Linked DNA regions of Canis lupus familiaris. The protein of the gene in region 1 interacts with the protein of each later gene in a biochemical or structural test. Links are inferred from orthologs where the notes say so. Each region holds a gene or a part of one and is shown on either strand. Other genes may lie near its edges.

Evidence for each region. The genes of interacting proteins can lie anywhere in the genome.
Region 2: the proteins of PSMD2 (region 1) and UBLCP1 form a complex in vitro, tested with the Homo sapiens proteins (3 studies listed by BioGRID). The link is inferred for Canis lupus familiaris from reciprocal best matches to the Homo sapiens genes PSMD2 and UBLCP1.

Annotation. Positions count from the first base shown.
Region 1 is NC_049255.1:17,348,988-17,352,918, reverse strand, and holds the start of PSMD2 (26S proteasome non-ATPase regulatory subunit 2), read right to left. Parts: upstream 2,801-3,931; 5' UTR 2,753-2,800; coding exon 2,618-2,752; intron 2,169-2,617; coding exon 2,112-2,168; intron 1,743-2,111; coding exon 1,578-1,742; intron 718-1,577; coding exon 596-717; intron 422-595; coding exon 197-421; intron 1-196. UniProt on the Homo sapiens protein: Component of the 26S proteasome, a multiprotein complex involved in the ATP-dependent degradation of ubiquitinated proteins.
Region 2 is NC_049225.1:52,117,294-52,127,618, reverse strand, and holds the start of UBLCP1 (ubiquitin-like domain-containing CTD phosphatase 1), read left to right. Parts: upstream 1-3,686; 5' UTR 3,687-3,848; coding exon of another isoform or gene 3,849-4,211; intron 4,212-4,457; coding exon of another isoform or gene 4,458-4,550; intron 4,551-4,666; coding exon of another isoform or gene 4,667-4,704; intron 4,705-7,211; 5' UTR 7,212-7,255; coding exon 7,256-7,409; intron 7,410-8,192; coding exon 8,193-8,284; intron 8,285-8,688; coding exon 8,689-8,774; intron 8,775-8,857; coding exon 8,858-8,973; intron 8,974-10,236; coding exon 10,237-10,325. Other genes in the region: uncharacterized protein LOC119876217, read right to left, coding at 2,823-2,922, 3,849-4,211, 4,458-4,550, 4,667-4,704. UniProt on the Homo sapiens protein: Dephosphorylates 26S nuclear proteasomes, thereby decreasing their proteolytic activity. Recruited to the 19S regulatory particle of the 26S proteasome through its interaction with 19S component PSMD2/RPN1.

The sequences.
Region 1 (3,931 bases):
ACCGCATGGCTACCATATACCAGGCATTGTGCTAGATGCTGGACCACTAAAGAGACACGAAGTCTCTGTCCTCAACAAGCTCACAGACACCCACAAATCAACTGCAGCCTCATTCCAAGAGAACAGAGGTGGTACAACTGACAGAGAAATGCTGGGGAGGCTAGGCCCTCCACCCACCCCTACCGTGCTCACTCACCTGGTAAGATAGAGGCAGACCTTTGCATATGCATTCTCATCGATGTCCTTCTCCAGCATATCCACCTGCTCAATTTCCATGAGCAGGTCACAGGCCTCATGCTCTGCATTGTGGGCCATGTTGTAGGGGACAATCTCCTTCACCAAGGTCAACAGTGGTTCCCGTTGTGATTTTTCCGCATCATCTAGCTCCTGCCACTCCTTGGCCACTTCCCCTGCGAGATGCCTGTGGATAGGCCCATGACCATTAGGAGGGATACAGCTTCACTCCTGTGGCCCAAGGAATTCAATATTTGGGAAATGCAACACCCTGGTTCTCTAAGACAGATAGTATCCCAAGACAGAACTCAGAATTAGGTCTCAGAATTCCTTTTAGATTCTCAAGAAGGAAAGGTCTTACCTGACATACTCATGACCCCATGATGCCAATTCCTCCTGGGAGCCGACCAGTCGATACTTGAGGCACTCACGTTCCCCACTCATGGTCATGGCCAAAACAGAGATGATGTCAGCAGCAAAACGCTGTAAAGAAACCAGTGCTTTAAAGTCAAATCCAGGGGAAGGAGAGTGGGAGACTATAGAGTTATGACTACCATCACTATCTCCCAAATTAAGTTGTAACTATCCACCAATCTCTATATTAGAAATTTACATGCTTTATCTAATCTAAGCCTCAAGATAACCCTAAGGTTGGTGTTGCTATCTCCCTTTGAAACCAATACGGCTGAAGAATGATAACAAGGAGAAAACAAAAAAGATGGGAGACTGAATTTTGTTCTAGTTGCAATAATAAATTATTAAAAGGTTTTAAGCAGAAAAGATTTTCACAATCTAAAAAGATCACCGTGGCTGCTCTGTGAAAGACAACCTGTATAAGTCACAAGCAAAAACAAGGCAGCCAGTTTAGGAGACCACTGAGGAACAAAAGATTTCCTGGATTATAGCTATACTAGTAGACAGAGAAATAATTGAACTAGGAATTTATTTTAGAAATAAAACAAGTGAACTAACATGGGATATGATAGAAATAAAAAAATCAAAGCTAAACATAAGTTAAAAACAGATCATGAGGGGTGCCTGGCTGGCCCAGCATGCAACTCTTGATCTTGGGGTCATGAATTCGAGCCCTGCACTGGACACATATTACTTTAAAAAAATCATGAAAAAAAATTCTAAGATCCACCATAAATGACAAAAAGGTGTATTCTGAGAAGGTCACCCTCCCGTCAGCTCTTGTGCCAGTATTTTGACTATGATCAGCTCAGTTCAACCAGCTCAGATCTCAGGTCTGTTAGGCTTCCTATGATTCACCAGGAGACCCCTGGGCTAGATGAAAAAGTATTACTAAGCTAGGCTTCCATCAGCTTCTGAAACAAGTTTACCTTATTCTCCCCGGGGGCCATGTTCTCATAGATTTCCTTCAGTTTGCCATAGTGTGGACGCAAAAATTTGAGAGGCTTGGGTACTGAAGTCATGGAAGTTGTAGAAGATCGAATTTGCCTCCGCAGTTCCTCCAGGGCTGGTCGGTACAGGGATGTGTCCTTCTCCTGATCAGGAGATGTTAGAGCTCAGACACAAACGAGTCCCATTTCTCAAGTCATAACACAGAGGTGTTTAACTAACAACTCCCTTAAGAAAGTAATTGTGTCTTATTCATCTGTGATTCCCCAACTCCCCGCTCCCTGCCTGGTACCAAAAAAAAAAAAAAAAAAAAATCCCAGTAAACAGTTCAAGAAAAAAGCTACAAAGTCTTTCAACTATCCTTTGTCATTCTTTTCTCTCACATCATCATCACAACCCTAAACAATCCGTCTTTCCTTATACCTCATATAGGAATTGTTGCCCCAAAATGTAATAAATCAAACAGGCAGGAAAGATCCAAATATGTACCCACTCAAGTCCACATCATGACTCACCCCTAGCCGTTCCACAAGCATCTCCAGTTCATCCTGCAGTTGTTTGTCCTCCTCAGACTGAGGGTTGGGGGAAGAAGTTCGTCAAGAGAAGGAATCCCAAACACATCCTCCTCCCATTCACCCCGGGGCAGGTAGAGGTAACCTGCCTCCTTAGGAGGGATCAGGTGGACAAGGAAAGAGCGCAGAAATGGCACCCTGGCGGGAAGGCAGGTGGGAAGGCAACCTGGCATCTAGGCCAGGCTGCTTCAATGCCATACTAAAAAACAGGGGTGACAATGTCCGGCCCGGGCCCACCTCACGGGTCAGTGGTGAGGGCTGGTGGGGTCGGCAGAGGCGAATGCGCAGAGTGGAGGATGAGGGGCAGGGAGTGCGAGGAGCCCCGAGGATCGCTCCATCCGCCCTCTCCCGGACGCTGCGGGGCCGTTGAGAGTCGGGCCCAAGGCCTGCGGACCCGCGGTGACTCAGCCCCGCGGCCTCCTCCGCCGGGTCCCGGGGCCGTGCCTCACCAGCTCCTGTTCTTTGTCCTTGTCGCTTGCATCCCGCCGTTCCTTGCCGCTCGGCTTCTCGTCCGCACTGCCCGGGGCGGTCGCTGGGGGTTGCTGAGGCTGCAGCGGAGCCTTATCCCGTCCACCCTCCTCCATCGCCGCCGCCACTGCCGGCCAGCTGCGCGCGCACCGCTCGCACCGCCCGCACCGCCCCGTTTCCCATGTGGCCTTGCGCGCGTGGCCGACGGCGCCCCGCCCCCTGAGCGCGCCTGCGACCGGAAGCGCCGCTGGGAACCTTCCACCGCCGCGTCGCGGGAGGCCCGGCCCTCGACCCCGCCCTCGGAGGCCGCCCCCAAAACTGCAAGTTCTAACCGCTCACGCGCCCCAGGCGCCGCCCCGGCTCGGACCGGGAGTTTCCGGAAGGCCACGCTGCTGTGCAGTCTGCGATCCGAGTCCGCTGGCTGCGGTAGGAGATGAAGAGCCGCGAGCCGAGGGACCGCCCGCGGGGTCTCCTTACTCGCCGAGCGACCGGTACCCACAGTGACACCGCAGTCGGCTGCGTGGTGGGACAGACGAACGAAACCCTTCACGTCCGGAATGCTTGATCGCCGCCCGTGTGAGATCTGCAACCTGTATCTACTTCCGCCGCCGCGGAATATTAACCTCGTAACGTTTTACCCCCGGGTGAAGGAGAGTGCTCGGGTACCACCTGCCGCGTACGGCCCCCACCTTAAATCCACCTGCGGAGCCTGGTCGGAGTCCATCAATACAATGTGGTCCTATGCTCCGATGCTAAACTCTAGAACTAAAGGCAGATCAAGACACAGGCTTTGCCTTCTTCAATCTCTGTCTTTTGGTCTTTCCGTGATTTGACTTAGAAGGGGTGTGAAGGACACTGTTGAAGTCAGGATTAGTTCTAGATGATACATAACGTCCTCTCGGCCGTTTGAATTTGGTAAGGCTGTGTCCCGTTTCCACAGAGGAAATCAGGTAGTCAGTAGTAGGATCAGGATTTGAACCTTGATCCAGTCTTCCAAGTTCCTGATTGTTTGAAGCAAAACTCCATGTTTTTTCTTAAGTTTGGGGCTACATGTATGCATCCAGAAGGTGAGAAAAGGGGAAGTAACTCCTCCCCCTCATCTGGTGGGAACACTCACCAGTTGACCTGGGGTCTTCATTATGGGTTCTGGGGCGTTAAAGAATGCAGAAAGTATTTGTGTTTTTTTGTTTTTTGTTTTGTTTTGTTTTGTTTTTAGAAAAACCTAGGACAGCATTGTTAGCACTGAATGAATGTTGGCTAAATATATTTAGAGATAGAATTGCATAGCCTATTTT
Region 2 (10,325 bases), on another chromosome or scaffold:
TTAAAAAAAGAATGCCTTCATGAATTCTTACATTAAAAAGAATGCAAAATTATTGTAAAATATCCAAACACAGAAAAACATAAATAAGATGAAAATCACTTGCTCTATGATGCTATCAAGAGATAATTTCAATACACTCATTTAACAACTGAGTGTATCCCATGGCACCATGAACTGTTAACACTTTGGTGTATATTTCAGAACTTTCCTGTGCATCAAGAGCCATACACAGATTATAGTCATTCATGGATATGATTATTATACACATAATATATATTATATAATAAGCTCTCATTACTTGATGTTCTATTCATTAATATTCATCCATTCAGCAAATATTTGATTACCAGCTTTAGCCAATATCATGTTAGACTCCAAGAATATAATGGTGAATTAATCAGACAGGGGCTGGTTCTTTACAAAGTTTACAGTACAGTGAGAGACTGTCATTAAAAAAAAATCTGAAATACACAGTTATAGATTGTATCAAGTTTAAACAAATGTAAACAGTGTTTTGAAATGCCCAACTGTGAAAGGAAAGGTATCTTGATGGCAAGATACCATGGCATGTTTATCATTGATGGAAATAAACCAGTAGAGAGAAAGATTAAAAATACAAGTGCTAGAAAAGATATTAGATTTAAAGAAGGCTGAGAAGGAAGGAGCCAGAGCACAAGTATAAGGGTTGGCTTCAGGTAGAAGGAAATTGCCAAATAAAAACAGAAGCAAAAGAAGCAAAGACAGGTGCAGATATAACTTAGTTCATAGATTCAGAGATCTTAAGTTGAGGCAATTCCTCTGTGAGATCTTCTATATTCCTTTTTTTGTTTGTTTTTCCAGGGAGTGAGGGGCAGAGGGAGAAGAAAAGAACTTCAAGTAGGCTCCCTGCTGAGCCCAGAATCTGACACGGGGCTTAATCACATGACCCTCAGATCATGACCTGAGCCAAAATCAAGTCAGATGCTTAAATGAGTGAGCCACCCAGACACCCTGAGACTTATTTTCTTATCAAAAATATAAGGCGATGTCATTTGCCAAGAACAAGCACGTAAACTGGAAGATCTGAGGTTTAAAAAGAGTTGTGGTTTTAAGTTGTCATTTGGGAAAGCAAGCTAAATAGAGAAAGACAGTAAACTTGCCAGGCTGAATTAAGAGGCTGTGGAGTCTGCCCTATGGGACAGATTCTAATCATTTCAGCACACTGACTGCAGCCAGGGAAAAGGCAAGGGAACAGGCATTAGGAGAAACAGTAGCATTAACTTGAAAGAAAGAAGGGAAGGAAGGAAGAAAGGAAGCAAGAGGGAGGTAGGGAGGGAGGAAGAAAGGATTGTTTTTTGCTTGGGAGGAAACAAAATGCCCTAGAGACAAGGGGAAGGAGGTAAACAGGTCAGGTGAACGTGGCAGGATTTCTGGCTTGGGTGCAGGAATGTCCTTTAGCCTTCTAATCCAAACATGATCACAGTGATGTCAGCAGTTTATCATCTGATTTTATGAAATTGGTTCCATGTTTTAGTCTCTTAGACCTAACAACCTATCAAAACCCTAGGGAGGAATTCCAGGCATCTTTAGTTGCTGCAAAGAATTATGAGTAAGGCACAAGTATATTACTTTCCACACATTAAAAAGGAGGATCTAGTGAGCAATAGAAATTTAATTATTCTCTTCCTAATGGCACTTGTGGGTTGCTCTGAGCACTTTTTTTAAAGTCCACTTTGTATTTATTTCTAGTTACCAGAAGTCCTTTATTCCTAACATAATTTTTTATTTCATGAATATATAGCTAACTAGAAAAGGACATGGAAGAACTGAGATACGGGCAAATCATCTGTTAACTGGACTATTTGTCCAAAATACTCTGCTACCGGGGATCCCTGGGTGGCTCAGTGGTTTAGTGTCTGCCTTCAGCTCAGGACATGATCCTGGAGTCCTGGGATCGAGTCCCACATCGGGCTCCCTGCATGGAGCCTGCTTCTCCCTCTGCCTGTGTCTCTGCCTCTCTCTCTCTCTCTCTCTCTCTCTGTGTGTGTCTCTCATGAATAAATAATAAAATAAAATCTTTAAAAAAAATACTCTGCTACCATTATTTTCTAAGAAATACCACTCACTGTTCAACACTTGCAATTTTAAAATTATCTACACTTGAGTAACATCAAACTTATCAACCTTTTGTACAATGGCTATTTTATCATTAAAAAGAAGAATCTCTTTATGCATCCTTTTGCTTAGAATTAAAATCTAAAATGTCTTAGTTGACATTTATGACTAACAAAAACAAGCTTTTCTAGTAACAGGAAAAAATATACAGTGGCCAAGCAGCTGGTTAGCACATGAATAAAGAACAGACTGAGTTGAAAGAAAATAATTCATTCTGGAGTTCAGTCCCTTGTGTTTCGACCATCTTTTTTTGGCTGGACTGCTATTGTGTGATTTTTGTACAAAAATTTTTAACTTGGGGTTTTCCTTGCCTTTTTTTTTTTTTTTTTTTTTTTTGAGAGAGAGAGAGTGAGTGTGTGTGTGGCATATGGGAGCTGGGGTGGAGGGGCAGACGGAGAGGGAGAGTTTTAAGCAGGCTCCACAGCCAGCACTAGTGGAGGGGGTCTCTATCTCATCACCCTGAGATCATGACCTGAGCAGAAACCAAGAGTGGGATGCTTAATCAACTGAGCCCCCCAGGCACCCCACTTCCTTTTTTTTTTTTTTAAGTAAGGAGGGTATACTTTTATTTCACTGAAAATGTTTCATTTTTTAAAAAAGCAGCTTTTCATACACTACTAATGCAATATGCAATAGAAATTACCAAAAGAAAAGAGGTAAGAACATACAATAGCGTTTGTCTTGTCTAAAAAGTTGGGAAGACACGAAACTTGGCTTTTTGCTTTCCTTCCATCGTGGCCAAAACGGGAACGTGAATTATTTACATCACTGTGAAGTAGAAGTAAAAATATATGTAATTCAAAGACTGGTGCATAGCTCAGACCAATATCATGTCAGCATTTTCCCTTCCACATCAAAATCTAAGTTTTATTTGGCGCCATATGCAACAATCTAGCGGCAATATTTTGTTTTGTTTTGTTTTGTTTTTTGCCTGACAGCAAGCGATGCCCGTTGAGAGCTTGTTGTATGAATCAGATAGGGACTGCTCTGAATTTCCACTAAAGTCTACAATTCTTTTGTCTGGGTTTGTAACTGGCTTTCCTCGCATTCAGAGGGAAGGTGGAGCGGAGGTGGGGACGGGCAAGGGGAGGTAAAATTCGATGCCCTACTTTAGTGACCTCGATGGCAGCTCTCGTACTGAGATCTGCTTCTTCGGTTCTCGGAGTGACTTAGGCTCACCCCTTCCCTTTTCTGCGGGTCCTCAGTTTACCGTTGCATAAAACGGGTGGAAGTCCAAGCTCCTAAAATTACTCAAGTTGGAGGCCCCTGGTGCCGGGGCGGGGAGCGGAGGGGGCTCAAGTCTTCAGCCTTAAAGGGCCCCTTTCAGCCCTCATCCGGAACACGGCAACGCCACACGAGTCCTAGGCTCGAGTCCTACGAAGGTCTCCGCACACCCCGGCAGCCGGGGCCACGCCACCGACCCACCGCCGCGGGCAGCGCAACAATACGGGAGACGCCCCCCGCGGAGCCCCGCCCAGCTCCGCGCCCACGAGCGGGCGCATGCGCAGGCGGGCGAGGGCTGGCCCGTGTCCAAGGACCCCCCTGTCCGCCCCGCGGTCACGGGCCACAGTCTCGGAAAGGCCCGGCTCCCGCGCCGGGTCAGGAGATCCCTGGCAGCCGCTGTCCAGGATTACCCTGCCGGAGACGGACGCGGGAGGCCGCCGCGCAGTCTCCAGCGCGTTTCCGTTTCAAACCTGAACTTCCGGCTCGTTAGCCGGTTCCGGTCCCCGTTCCTCACTTCCGGCCGCCGTCGGTTCCGCTGTGGCCGGTTCCTGCGTCCACTGCTGCGGGCCCCGCGGCTCTCCAGGTGAGGGGACGCGGGGCGCCCCGGGGCGCTGCCCCCGGGGAGGCGGTCGGGGCCGGGGGGCCGCCGCGCGGCGCTGCAGTTCGCGCGACGCGGCCTCCACGGCGGCCCGCGGGCCGGGCCGGGCCGGGCCGGACGCTGCCTGCGGGCGCCCCGGGCCGCGTCTGCCCCGGTGTGCGGCCCAGGCCGTGGCCCCTGCAGCTCCTCGCCGGGCCTCCGCCCTCCCGCCCGGCCTCCGCGCTGCTGCCGGGGGCTCCCCAAGCCCCAGTGGGTTTTGCGTCCCCAGACTCCATTCCTGCGCCCTTCGGGGTTTGTCCACGGCTCCGCCTCCCCCTCCCCCTCCCCCTCCCCCTCCAGGTGAAGGCCGGGGCCTCGGGTTCTTGGGGTGCCTGCGACGCCTGCCTGCCTGCCTGCCTGCCTGCCTGCCTGCCTGCCTGCCGCCCTAGGGCGGTCGCCTCCCGCGGCTGCCGCCGTGCCGGAGGCTGGTTGAGGGCTTCACCTCCGCTCAGCGCCCCAGGCGGTCGCTTTTGCTGTTAGTTTCAGGTTTCCGCAACTTGCGGCCTTGGACAAAATGGTTTTCTTTTTCAGTTTTCTAACGTGGATACGTGAAGACAATAGTCGTCAGTTCAGGAATGCAAAGATCAAGTGAGATAAGCTGTTTGAGCAGGTGGCCGTGTGGTCATCGCCACCGTCCGCCTTGCGCTTTACAGTTCACAAAGTGCTGTCACAGGTGTTGCTTCGTCCATTAACGCTGTTCTCGTGAACTCAGGATCGCCTCATTTTGAGGCAGGAGTTTTGGAATTGACCGGACGGGTCAGTTCAGTATGTTAGGCAGAACTAACCCAAACGGCTGTCCTAGAGGTTGCGGTCCTTACTTGGGTAGTAGTTTTAATTGCCGTCAACCCTACCCCAAATCATTTTTCGGTGTATTGATCTGATAGGACCTAGAATGACACAAAGCATTAGAATGGCGTGAGAGAGGAGGTTAAATGGGAAAACATAAAATGACTCCTGCATTTGCACTGTGTGTTCCCTTGGGAGTGATCTGAATGTTGGAGAAATGAGGTTCAAAAGCAGTTTTAAGGACTCTGCGTTTAAGATTTCGAGGGTGTTTGTTTTGTTACGCTTGGTCGTTCAGAGCAATTGCCAACTTGGGATTCCCACCAGGGTGTAGGTGTACAGTGTATAACATTTGTATACTACTCTACTAAGCGTGCAGAGCCCAATGCCATCTGGTAGGTTTTCTTTTTTAGCTGAGAAAATTGAAGAGTTTAGAGCACTGGCTCTCAGACTTTTCGTATGCCTCAGAGACGGGGTGAGGGGGAGGCTGGGACAGGGATTGCTAAAACACAAATTGCTGGGTTCTTTTCTCTCCAGCCCCCGTTATGTTTATAGCAAGTTACCAAGTACAGTCATGCTGTTGCTTGGTCTTAGACAACGCTTCGAAAATACTGGTCTAGAGGTGAAATGACTTGCCCAGGCTCACCTGGAGCTCAGAGGATGTTACTCCAAACTCTCTGCTCTCGCCCCACCCCCAGCACAATGTAAACTCTGTTAGTTGGTGGTGGTCCCATTCTTAGCTCTTGTAAATTTTCATTTTTATTGCCACCTTCACAGAGGAATAATGTTTAAATCATATTTTAGTTTGGCTCGAAAGGTCTTTTTGGCACTTTATTGAGAATCATAACATTTCCTAGAGCAAGTTATCTCAACAGAACGCATTGCCCTAAATTACTACTTTAAATTTCAGTAGAGCAGGTACAAACATAAGAGCGTAAGTATGATTGATTTTCTAGTGCTTCCTCTAGTGGGCATGTTGAAGACCTCTTAAGTTCCTACGTTATTTTTGTATGTAATGATTCACAGTTTGTCTTCTTGCATTGGTTATTATCCAGGGAGAATGCAATCAAATGTTTCCTTAAACAAGTGATAGCATCTGGAAATGGAGATTAGGAAATTCAATTCTCTGACCTGGGGGGAAACGGACTTAGGAAAATTGATAAAAAGTATTAAGAGAGAAAAGCCCTACATGCCATTGTTGATGAGACTAACAACCACTATTTGATCTTGTGCACTTTTATCTGTGCCTGTGGGTTTTTATTTACTGATCTTTGATGCTTTGCCTCCTGTAGGTCCCAATTCAAGAGAGGCAGTTGTGATGTAGAGGAAGAAACATGAGATTTAGTCAGAAGACCTGTTCTGTTACCGCCTGTGTGCCCATTAGCAGATTACTTAGCCTCTCTGAAGTCCCATTTTTTTAATTGCAAAAGAGGGATGATTCTTATCAACCCTGTTAAATGACATTGCATAAAAACTTTCCAATTTATTAAATACTAAACAAATAATGGCGATGCTTTTTATTTAGCACAGTGCCTGGAACACATCAGCTCAGATTTTTTAAGATTTTATTTATTTATTAATGAGAGAGACACACAGAGAGAGAGAGAGAGAGAGAGAGAGAGAGACAGGCAGACACACGGGCAGAGGGAAAAGCAGGCTCTGTGCAGGAAGCCCGATGTGGGACTCAATCCCAGGACTCCAGGATCACACACTGAAGGCGGCGCCAAACCGCTGAGCCACCGGGGCTGACTGTCAGCTCAGATTTTTAAGAAAATTTATTTAGATAATGCTTATTTTTGTAGTGCTTACTATGTGCCAGGTCTATATGACTTACAAATATTAGCTAATTTAAGCCTCATAAGAACCCCAAAGTAGAAATATTCTCATCCTTAGTTTACAGAGAAGGAAACTTAGGCACTAGGAGTCTGGTAACTTCCCAAAGTAAAATAGCCAATAAGTGAGAGAGCTGGGATCTAAACCCAGGTACTATGGCTCTAGGGTTTGCACTTTTAACAACTCACTGTGCCACTTCTCAAGTGTTACTATGAATGGTCCATGATGGAGGAACTTACCTGTAACATAAACCTGGTCAAACAGAGAGGGAGGGATAGGTAGCTGATCATTGCAGAGTATATTAGGAAGTAGTAACTTTAAGCCAAAAATTGGGAGGGTAGGGGAATTTTAACTTTGAGGCCTAATAACTTTTGGTGTTCTGGTAACACAGATTCTGTAAGGAGAAAATCTTGTTTCTCCACCATCCAGTTGTAAAGTAGGACTCAAACTGCATTGCTTCTAAAACTTAGTTACAAATTTAGCTGCAAACTGCATTGCTTCTAAAACTTAGTTACAAATTTAGCTGCGTCTTTGATGTATCTGTTTTAACTTATTTACTGGTATATCCCTTTCTTTTTAGGTATCTTTTTCTGAGTGAAAGCTGCTTGATCGTATGTTTCAAGGATGGCTCTTCCTATCATTGTAAAATGGGGTGGACAGGAATATTCAGTGACCACACTTTCAGAAGATGATACCGTGCTAGATCTCAAACAGTTTCTTAAGACTCTTACAGGAGTGCTACCAGAACGCCAAAAGTTACTTGGACTCAAAGTTAAAGGTAATTCTCTCCTCACTTTAAACTTTTTGCATCGAAACACTTATGAATTTTCATATGTTATTTTTTTCTCTTTAATAAGTCTTTCTCCTTTAGATTTCTTTGTTAGGGATATCCCTAAAATTGCTGTATGATAAAAATAATATTAAAAATTTCTTGAAAATACCACCGCTATTAAGATTACTTTTGATTCCTCTGACAGTTGGTGTTTGCTTGTTAAACCTGTGGTGCAGAAGTCTCAGGTAAAACAGTGTAGTTTCTGACATCTGTGTTCTAGCACAGCTTTTTCATTACAGCTGGGTTCTTATACTCTCCCTAAGTCATCTTTTCTGCTTCAAAAGTAATGTTTTAAAATGATGATTTAAAAATTATAAGCAGTGTTTATATCCAGTTCGAAAGGAACTTTCCTGGTGTTTGTGTTTGGCATATCATTGAAGAGTGAATTTTGGGTAGCAAAAAATCTCGAGTTTTGTCTTAGGTGCTCAGTGTTCAAGACTTTCTGGAAAACATCTTCATCTTGAACAACAAACTAAAATAATTTATTTTCTTTAGCTAGTTGAATAAAGATGTTCCTCTGAGATGGAGTTGGGGAAAAAAACAAATTTATTAGTTGCTACTTGTTAGTGTGTTAGACATTGCTAATTCAGCAGTGAAAGTTTGTTAATTTAAGAAAAAAACTGCTGTGGAATCTGTACCAAACCTTTTAATATTAGGGTTTTGTATAATGGGATAGTGAAATCAGCACCTGAACTTTAGTGAGAAAACAGTCATTTGCTTGTATTGTAGGCAAACCTGCAGAAAATGATGTTAAGCTTGGAGCTCTCAAACTGAAACCAAATACTAAAATCATGATGATGGGAACTCGTGAGGAGAGCTTGGTAAATGTTTACTTTTGTTACCATTTGTCCCTTTGAAGGTATTATGATTTATATTACACTGTTGTATCATGGTTTTAATTGTGGTAAAATTGTCAGTTTTGCAGTCCGTGAAAAATAAAAGCTTCACAGTGTATGTGGTATTAACTCAGCAGAAAACAAATACTAGGGAACTTTTAGTATATAGTTAGCATAAGCATAGTAGTCGTGCAAATGGTCAAACTTAACACGGTAAATCTACTCAGTGAATGTATGTTATGAATTATAAAATGTGGAAATTTCCTCACAGTGTGTGCTTGAAAGATTCTTGATCTTGGACTGTATCTTTTATTTGCTTTTTATGTTATGCATGTATTTGTTATGTTAAAGATAATCTGGTAAAACAGAACTCTTTTTCATCTTAATAGGAAGATGTCTTAGGTCCACCTCCTGACAATGATGATGTTGTCAACGACTTTGATATTGAAGATGAAGTAGTTGAAGTAGAAAATAGGTAAGTACTTTATACTATCAAAGGAAATGGGTTGTAGTGTGTGAAAAAAGTGAATGTTTCACCTTATTTTATTTTTCCATTAGGGAAGAAAACCTACTGAAAATTTCTCGTAGAGTGAAAGAGTATAAAGTGGAAATTTTGAATCCTCCCAGGGAAGGGAAAAAGCTTTTGGTACTAGATGTTGATTATACATTATTTGGTAAGTCAGCTAAAATTGCACTTTACCTTCGGTTACCCATAACAACTCTTTTTTTCCTTTTATTTTTTTCTTCCAATATGAAATATTTAAAAGTTTTTCTTCTTCTTCTTTTTTTTTAAAGTTTTTCTTCTTATTATAAAAAGTATATCATTTATTGTAGAAAATACTAAAATTATCTGTAATTCCAAACCCCCAAAATAATTATTCTTATATTTTGATGTGTATCTTCCAGAGTGTGTTTGTATGTATATCCTTTCTACTTTTGCTTAATGATTATTTTGAATATTTCAGTCATTTAATATTATTCTTTGTGAATTAAATACAGTTTTTGGTTATCGCTACTCTAGTTTGTGGATGTATCTTAATTTAAGTCATTCTCTATTGATTAACATTTAAATTTTTTGAGGATTATTTAAAAATCATTTTTGAGGGGATCCCTGGGTGGCGCAGCGGTTTGGCGCCTGCCTTTGGCCCAGGGCGCGACCCTGGAGACCCGGGATCGAATCCCACATCAGGCTCCCGGTGCATGGAGCCTGCTTCTCCCTCTCCCTATGTCTCTGCCTCTCTCTCTCTCTCTCTCTCTCTCTATCATAAATAAATAAAAATTAAAAAAATTAAAAAATCATTTTTGATATTCCTGGTTTTCTTTTTTTTTTTTTTTTTTTTCCTGGTTTTCCATTTAATTATATTGAGGGCAGATTTTTAAATTTAAAGTTTCTCATAATAGCAAAAAGGAAAGATGTTAATCTCATACTGTAATATTGCTAATAAGTGATTAGTTAACTCTTGATATTAGCATGAATTTATTTACTTCTAACCCTAAACTTTAAGTACAGATCATAAATTAATGTATACTTATTTAAAATTTGATTATTAAGTTAGTTGGGCCTGTCATTTTAGTAAAATGTGATTATGTCTGGAAGGTGAGTGGCTAAAAGTGAGTATAGGTGCCTCTAGTTTGTTTTTCATGTCACAAAATAACGTCTGTATTTTAAAGACTACTTGAAAACTAAATTTACAGTTACTATATGAGCCTGAATTCTGGACATTGCTCCTCACAAATTAACCAAAATATATTCATTAAAACTGGATCACAAAGATATTAAATTGCGTGCTTTGAAAGACACTTGTTTTCAGCCAGTGTAATTCAGTCTCAAGTAGTTTACATTTGAATGTTTGTATTACATTTCATAATTTGCACTGATGTCAGGTACTTGTCCATGGTAAGAAACTAGTAAACATCTATAACTGATTTTCTTTTAGACCATAGGTCTTGTGCAGAGACTGGAGTAGAATTAATGCGGCCATATCTTCACGAATTCCTAACATCTGCATATGAGGATTATGACATT